Mus musculus: one gene and its partner. The protein of the gene in region 1 purifies or fractionates together with the protein of each later gene. This does not show direct contact. Links are inferred from orthologs where the notes say so. Each region holds a gene or a part of one and is shown on either strand. Other genes may lie near its edges.

Region 1 (4,420 bases):
AATTATCACTTCTTTTATTTATTTATTTATTTATTTATTTATTTATTTATTTATTTATTGGGTTTTTCGAGACAGGGCTTATCACTTCTTTTAAAGACAGGGTCTCAAGTATCCCAGGCTGACCTTGAATATCTGTGCAAGGCTCCACAAACCCTGTATATGAGGCTTAAACTCTGTTTAACTTCAAATTAAATTTAACCAGAGTGCTGAGTGGTGGCCTACATCTGTACTTTTAGTTCTTACAATTCACAGGTGGAGGCAGGAGTTGAAGACCAGCTTCTGCTACTGAGGCATCAAACTATTTTTTGTTTTGTTTTCCGAGACAGGACTTCTCTGTATAGCCCTGGCTGTCCTCGAACTCAGAAATCCGCCTGCCTCTGCCTCCCAAGTGCTGGGACTTTTGCTGGGATGCAAAACCTTACATTCCAAGTTTCCTTAGGAGAGATGTAGAAGAATAAAGGCATAGGGAACCATGTCCACCTGAGTTCAGCTACGGGACACACATTGTAGAAAAACTACAAATTATCTTCTGACCTTTATTGTGGTGCACACACCATCCCACAAACACAAAATAAACTAAGGCTTCCTTCCTTGGGCAGAACCTGTATTTCTAGTTTTTAAAAGTAATTAATTAAGATCACAAGTTTGGGGCTGGAGAGATGGCTCGGCGGTTATGGTTAAGAGCACCGACTGCTCTTCCAAAGGTCCTGAGTTCAATTCCCAACAACCACATGGTGGCTCACAACCATCCATAACAAGATCTGACTCTCTCTTCTGGAGTGTCTAAGACAGCAACAGTGTATTTACATAGAATAAATAAATAATCTTAAAAAAAAAATCACAAGTTTGAGGCCAGGCAGGGCTACAGTTAAAGTCCTGTCGCAATCAAATACTTCCAAGATACACTGCCACAAAAATTTCCTTTACTGTCTTAACACTAATACCACTTTTTTCTAAACACTTCTCTAATAAGCAGTTAAAATTCTCCAAGCAGCCAAACCATGTGCTATTGTTCTAAGAAAAGTGTCTCACTGTAGATAGGCCAGGCTAGCCTGGCTCTCAAGGACTAAGACAACTGTGAGTCACCACACCTGGCTCCATTTGTTTTCCAAGCATATATTCAAGTCTCAATGTGGTTCAGTGGTGGGGAGCTTGTCTAGCATGCAACTGAAACTTAATCCCCAGAACTACAGACACAATGAAAAACATGTCAAAGCCTCACTACAGCACTGCTCTCAATAGTGAAAGCTGTGCCAATCTAAATGACTACCAGGAGATGGAGATCTAGAATGTGACACAGTATTCAGGAATATACTGTCTACTACTAAGTTTAAAAGTCTTGAAAACATTCTAAAACCAGAAAAGGCCATTACAATTCCCTACATGTGAAATGCTTGAAATGGAAAATCCAGACACTTAAAAGAAATCCCAAGGAGAGGCAGGGAATTCTGAGAAGGCCGGCACTACAGAAAAAGGAATGCAGAAGTTGAAGCATAACTTACCCTGTCTCAAAAACTAAGTGCATCAGGAAGGTGGTGTGCGCACGCACACACACACACCTTTGATCCCAGCACTCTGAAGGAGGAGGGAAATGATGAGTTGGAGACCAGATCTAAAAAAGTTGAGTAAACCAAGACAGCCAGCCTGATTTACAGCAAGAACTGTCTCAGGAACAAACAAAAATAAATATCTTGGAACCACACAAAGGTTCCACAACAAAACTATCATAGCTAGGAAGGCAAGCATGCTTGTGGCTCAACAGGCTAGAGGAATGACAGTTATGAAGTTTGCTAGTGACCCCCCGTCTTTTAGTAAAAAGTGCATAAAAGTAAATGTTGAGGTCTGCTAGGCATGTAGTGGCCTGCACCGTGCACCCTAAACTCCTGCGTAAAAGAATCTTTACTAAAAGGACATACAACATACAACCTTGAGGACATACACTCAGTAAGTCTTCAACTTCACACTTCCGAAATGAAAACCCTACTTAATAAGCCATTTAAGTGTCTTCCCTACTATACACCATAATGTTCAAACCGACTATTATCAAACTAAAAAATTTAACCCTATTTTGCCGTGACCCCACCCTGTGCCCAAGACTCAGTTGAGCGACCAAGCCATTCCGCGAAAATTAAAAAAACAAACAAAAAGACAAATGAAACTCATCCATCCCCGGTTTTCACACCTGTTAAAAGCAAATAGGTCAAAGAAAAACCCAACTCAAAGTGAACTATGATTTACATTAAGAAACGCAGCCTCATTAGAAAAGATTTTTAAAGCAAACACCAAGTCGGCATAAAAAAAAGATGAGACTGTAGGGGCTCAGTAAATACGAAAAGACCTGTCTTAAAAAATATATACAAAGTCCTCAAGACACTATACCAAGAAAACCAGGAGCAAGGAAGAAAAAGGCGCCATCAAACTAAAGGCCGCGACGTGGAGAATTCATTTAGAGATCTACCCCACACACACACACACACACACACACACACACACACACGCCGGCCACACCCCAGCCTGGAGCAATCCCTCTCCGAGCCTTCCTCCAAAGGACAAAAGATTAAGTCCGGGATTTACAGACTTGGAAGCATCTTCAACATTGCCCGGGGCCCCAGCCGCCGCCCGGGACCGAAAGTCACAAAATGGCGGCGGCGCCCCTTTGTCTCAATCTGGTGCCGCCATTGCGCCCGGCCCCACCTCGAGTCTGCGGAACTCCACCTCCCTCCCTCCACCTCCCTCCCTCCGTTCGCCGGTCCCTTACCGAGATCCTGGGTTCAAAAGGCCCAAGCTCAAATCCTAACGCTCCGACAGGCCCACCCGCTTCCCTCTGGTTCTGCTCCTACAGATTCTCGGTCTCGCGGCGTCACGAAATGGCGGACCACCACCGTCCCCTCGCCCTATTTATAGCACCCTGCTCTGCCACATGACCTGACCAGATCACCCAATCAGAGGCGGCGCAGGCTGTGACGTAAGCGCTACAAACGCTGCGAGAAACCGCGGTTACTGGGAGCGCGCGCCGGCCGTTCCGTCAGGTGGGTGGGGTACGCGCGGTGGCGCGAGCTCGTCGCCGCGTGCCGGCTTGTCCCGCAGATGCGGCGCTCGGCCCGGCCATCCCCGCGAGCCGCGCAGACGCCCCCTCTCCTCCACTTCCGCCTAGGCTGCAGCCGAATAAAGCTGTCCAGACTCTGCCGCCATTAATCCCGGGCGATGGCGGCTGCAGCCGCGGGCTCGGGTCAGAGTGAAACATGGACGCTTGCTTCCTCGTTGTGGGGCATCCATCGCAGACTAAGGAGCCTTATAGTCGCTCTCAAGGTCACCGAGCTTGGGCGACTTAACTGGTACCCCACGGTGCCCGGTCTGCGCCCCGATGCAGGGTAGAGCCTGCAAAGTTTGCTCAACTTTCGCTTTCCCGCCTCGCCCAAACCGCGCGCGCGGCAAATGCGACTTGATGAGGCTGCATGAAAAAACAAAAAAAAAAACAAGACAAACGGTCACAGGGCTCACTTTCCCAGGAGGAGAGCAAGGTTTTGCATAGGTTGCCTTTACGCTCTGAGCACGCAGCTCCGCCATGCAGATGCTAGGAGGGGCACCTGCGGCCTTTGTAAGGGCTTTGCTCTGGCTGCCAGACCTGTGGGTCTCCCTGGGCCTCTACACACAGACCCCAGGATAGCTGAATACCCTCGTTTGACAAGCCACATCGTTTGCCTCCAGCTCCCAGACGTATCCTCGGCCTGGCCCCCCTCAGGCTACTCTGATTTATTGGGGAGACTTAGTTGTTTCTGCTTCCAAGAAAGGTCAAAATATTAACCAGTTTTTCAGACACAACTCTAATGCTTTTGTTCCCCTAAGGGAGTTGTGGTGCAGGCTACAGTTGTTAAACCTGTTTTTGTTGTGACCTTCAGAAGATTCTAGCAAAACTTCATTTCCTTCTAGATCTTTTTTTTTCTTTCTGGGTTAGACATGCCTAGTATAGTAGTAATGGGGCTCATTTGAACGTCCTTTTGTCTTTTTCCTCTCCTCCCTGCCTCATAATCTCAGCTCTTGGCCCAAGGGAACAGGAGTCGAACTTTATGTTCATACATTTAGTGAGTTCTAGGCCAGAAAGAACTTCTTGAGATACTTTCTGAAAAACAACAAAAAATCTGATGTATCTAAATGACTTGTGATATTCTCTGTTCCAAAATTTTTTGGTTTGTAAAACAAACAAGTAATGACTACCAGGCTGGTGAGATGGCTCAGTGGGTAAGAGCACCCGACTGCTCTTCCGAAGGTCAGGAGTTCAAATCCCAGCAACCACGTGGTGGCTCACAACCATCCGTAACGAGATCAGACTGGAGTGTCTGAGGACAGCTACAGTGTACTTACATATAATAAATAAATAAATAAATCTTTAAAAAAAAAAAAAAAGTAATGACTACCTTTA
Region 2 (4,399 bases), on another chromosome or scaffold:
GAGCGTCAAGTAACGCTTCGCTACTCTCCCGGACCAAGAACGCCACCATGGAAGCCTCTTCCCCTTTGCTCCCGCTCAGCCTCGCTGTCCCACAACGCCTCATTTCCCTCCGCAATACTGGGTTATTTTTTGTTGTTGTTGTTCTGAAGATTAGCGATTCTGAAGAGCAGGGGCTAAGGTCCGCTGTGGCTCCGAAGAGAAAATTTCTCCTCAGCCAACAGGTACCGAGAGTCACCACAACTAACACTTTCCTCTGCAGTCGCATAAAAGACAACTACCTTCTGGGGCGACGAGGACCTAAAGGTGAAGCGCAGCTAACGCTGTCGCAGCCATTCCGCACATCCCTTCCACCTCGAGCAACTTTTCCCGCCACCAGGAGAAGGCGCGAGGACACGGACAAATTCCGCCCCCAAGCGGCGTGCGCTCAGGTGCTGCGCGTGCGCAGTTGGAAGTTGCTTCTGCGTCTGCGCAGCCGGAGTAGCCCGCCATCTTAAGAACGAAAGCCTAGTGAAACTACAAGTTCCATAATCCTCGCTGACATCTTTAGTTCCGCGCCCCCCCCCCCATAATATCCTGCGAAGCGCCCTAGGCACTTCATTCTTATCTCTGCCTCAAATCGCTTTCTCTTTCCTGTTTTCGTGCTATCACTCCCTACCTTTTAGTTGTCGTCACCCTCTTAAATTTTGAAACCATCTTGAGCTCCCCCCTTGCCTCTACAGTGCTCTTTCCTGACAAATAGTCTGTGGACTGGGAAACTCCGCCAGCCATCAGTCTGAGGATTCTGCATAGAATCAGTGCTTCCCATTGGCCGAAACAGGAGCCCAAACAGGTCGATACCCTTTCCCGCCCACATTCGCGGTGTGTCTAGCTGCAGGGATAATGCTGTAAAATCCGCAACGCTAGCGGGTGGCGCTGAGGGACCGATACGCAGGCGCTGCACTATGGCAGCGGCGTCCGAGGCCTGACGTAGGTGTAGGGAGGAGAGGAAGGCGTAGTTCTCTAGATGTTTGTCCCTGGTGGAAGGAGGAGGGCCGCTTGAACAACTGGGCCATTTCAGGGGAAGAGGAGTTTGGACAATCTCGATGTTTTAGTACTTGTTTGTTTTCAATTCAGAAAATATATTAAATAATATATTGCATTTTATTGATAACAGTTCTTGAGACAATGGTCTCGATTCCTTAGCCTACTTTATCATCCTCTCCTCAGGTTCTCCTAAGTCCTAATTCTAATGAGATAGGCTGGGGGCGGGGGGAAGGGGTGGGGAAAAGACCAGCGATCGCTCATGAATAATTCATGAGCCCGCCTCTTTCGCTGGGAATGCACGCCCCTTGGAAACGTGCTGACGCACGCTGCGTGTAATGAACCTAAGGAAACGACGTCACACTCCCCGCCCCTAGAGCGGAGGGGGCGGAACATCATCTCCAGCACGTGTTGCCCCTTCAACCCGCGCAAGTCCAAAAGGACTGTGCGCAGGCGCTCTCCAGGAGGGGCGGGGATGGGGGAGGAAGGAGGCGGGGCAGGGAGGTTGTTGGGTTTAGAGCCGGGCGGAGACGGCGGAGCCTCATTCCTCAGGAACAAGGGTCGGGTGTCAAGGAGACCTTTTCACACCAGCTCCCGTTCCCCGCCTACGGTGGGTGGGATCGCACGGCAGAGACAAAGGATATCAGTAGGGCTTGGACTTAGCAGCGAAGGGAAGTCGGGTGTCCGTGTGGGGCGGTGGGCGTCTCGGGCTGGGGGAGGGTGAGGTAATTAGGGAGGGGGGCTGTATTTAAACTCTCGGAGCCGTTAAGTTGGTTCGCACTCCCGATGCGCGCGCAGCCTGGGTGGTGGCGGAGCGCGCATGCGTGGGTCCTGGGCGAGCGGGACGCGCGCCCGTCGTGCGCGCTCGCGGCAGAGTGGTAGTGGCGGAGAAAAGGGAGTCGGCGCACGCGCAGTTGGTTCCTCGGCTTGTCCGGGTCTCGCGGGCATCTTGTTTTGGTCTCGCGGGCGAGTGGAGCGCGCTTGGTGTGTCGCGGGAGGGAGGTGGAGGCGCGAGGCAGAGCTGCGCGCGCACTCGGGGAAGGAGGGAGTGAGGTGGTCTTAGGAAGGGTTACAGGGGGCTTCCCCTTGCTCTCTTCTCAGTACCCTCGCTTGAGAAGGGGAAATTAAACAGGGAGAGGAGATGATCGAGATGGCGGCGGAGAAGGAGCCCTTTCTGGTGCCGGCCCCGCCGCCGCCGCTCAAAGATGAGTCGGGCGGAGGGGGCGGCCCCGAGGTGCAATCGCACCAAGAGGCTGCCTCCGGGGAGCTCCGTGATGGGACAGAACACGGGCCGGGCCCTCGCGCGCACTCGGCCGGGGCCGCAGCCAGCGGAGGGGGCGGCCCCCAGGCACAGGCGCACGGGGAGCCCCACGGGCGAGCCGCCGCTCCTGCGGACGTGGGGGAGGAGCGCCGGGGAGGGGGCGGGACGGACCTGGGTCCCCCAGCCCCTCCTCGACCTCGCAATGGCTACCAGCCCCACCGACCCCCTGGGGGTGGTGGGGGCAAAAGAAGAAATAGCTGTAACGTGGGGGGAGGGAGCGGTGGAAGCTTCAAACATCCGGCCTTCAAGAGGCGCCGGCGAGTGAATTCAGACTGCGACTCTGTGTTACCATCCAATTTCCTTCTGGGGGGTAACATATTTGATCCACTGAACCTGAATAGCCTCCTGGATGAGGAAGTGAGTCGCGCACTCAATGCGGAGACCCCAAAGTCATCCCCACTTCCGGCCAAGGGGCGAGACCCTGTGGAGATCCTCATCCCCAAAGATATTACTGACCCGCTCAGTCTCAACACTTGCACTGACGAGGCCCATGTAGTGCTTGCCTCACCACTCAAGATTGGTCGCAAGCGCCATAGACACCGGGGACCGCACCACCAGCAGCAGCAGCAGGCGTCTGGAGGGAATGATAGCAACGCCGCCGTGCTGCCCACTGACCCTCTCACGCCCTCACTCCATGGGGAGGGTGCTACGCAGCAGCAGCAAAACAGAGGCCAGAACCGTGATGCCCCTCAACCCTATGAACTCAACACAGCCATCAACTGCAGGGATGAAGTTGTGTCTCCCCTTCCATCTGCCCTGCAGGGTTCCTCAGGCTCCCTTTCTGCCCCTCCAGCTGCCTCAGTTACCTCTGCACCCTCTACTTCTTCCTCCTCCCGACATCGCAAACGTCGCAGGACTTCCAGCAAGTCAGAGGCAGGGGCTAGGGGTGGAAGCCAGGGTTCCAAGGAAAAGGGCAGAGGGAGTGGAGGAGGCCGTCACCACCACCACCCACTACCTGCAACTGGCTTCAAAAAGCAACAGCTAAAGTTCCAATATGGGAATTACTGCAAGTACTATGGCTATCGCAATCCTTCCTGTGAGGACGTGCGCCTTAGGGTGTTGAAGCCCGAGTGGTTTCAAGGCCGGGACGTCCTAGATCTGGGCTGCAACGTTGGCCATCTGACCCTAAGTATTGCCTGCAAGTGGGGCCCAGCCCGCATGGTGGGGCTGGACATTGATCCACGGCTTATCCACTCTGCTCGCCAAAATATCCGACACTACCTGTCGGAGGAGCTTCGTCTCCAAGCTCAGACTTCTGAGGGGGACCCAGGGACAGAGGGGGAGGAAGGGACTATCACTGTCCGAAAAAGGAGCTGCTTCCCAGCCTCACTGACAGCCAGCCGGGGTCCCATCGCTGCACCCCAAGTGCCCTTGGATGGAGCGGACACATCTGTCTTCCCCAACAATGTCGTCTTCGTCACGGTAAGAGTCCAAAGGCTCTTGGAATAGGGTTCAGATGTGAAGATGAGATTAAATAGGAATGTGTTGGGGGGATGGTCATGACCTAGAGGTGTATCCATGCGTCCATCTGTTCCTCCATACAAGAACCACCTCCTGGAGAGAACAGGATTGGCCAGAGAATCTCTACTGGGTGTTGTCTCTGCTCCTCTAACGTGGAAAGTGGGATCTCTACCTTGAGGCTCTAACACCTGGTCCTTTCTCATGACTACAGACAAGGATCTCATCCCCAACATAGCATGCCTTGCCCTGCTTCCACCTGGGACTGTAACCAGAGAGTCCACTTTCCCAAGGGTACTTCTGTTCAGTCCACATGGAACCTTGTCCTCAAGTCTCCTGAGGGAGCCTCAAGCTCGGTGTCTTTGGGAGAGGGGGAACACTCTGGTATTTGTCGTTTGGGGCCTTTGATAGGGACTCTGTTTGCCTCAGCTGCTTTCTGTTTCCCTAGATACAACACAAGACTGTTGAAATTGCTGGTCAGAAACCCATGGGTCTGTCTTCCCCATGCTGACTGAATAGTGAGAGGGAGGCAGTGAAGAGGACTACATGGAGGAGAGTGCCCAGCCTGACAGCCTATGTCCCTGTCAGTGCTAGCTTCCT

The links.
Region 2: the proteins of Srsf3 (region 1) and Mepce purify together in Homo sapiens (affinity purification with mass spectrometry; 3 studies listed by BioGRID and IntAct, with this or other methods). This does not show direct contact. The link is inferred for Mus musculus from reciprocal best matches to the Homo sapiens genes SRSF3 and MEPCE.

Annotation. Positions count from the first base shown.
Region 1 is NC_000083.6:29,031,125-29,035,544, reverse strand, and holds the start of Srsf3 (serine/arginine-rich splicing factor 3), read right to left. Parts: upstream 2,886-4,420; 5' UTR 2,759-2,885; intron 1-2,758. UniProt on the Homo sapiens protein: Splicing factor, which binds the consensus motif 5'-C[ACU][AU]C[ACU][AC]C-3' within pre-mRNA and promotes specific exons inclusion during alternative splicing.
Region 2 is NC_000071.6:137,783,825-137,788,223, reverse strand, and holds the start of Mepce (7SK snRNA methylphosphate capping enzyme), read left to right. Parts: upstream 1-1,522; 5' UTR 1,523-2,161; coding exon 2,162-3,763; intron 3,764-4,399. UniProt on the Homo sapiens protein: S-adenosyl-L-methionine-dependent methyltransferase that adds a methylphosphate cap at the 5'-end of 7SK snRNA (7SK RNA), leading to stabilize it.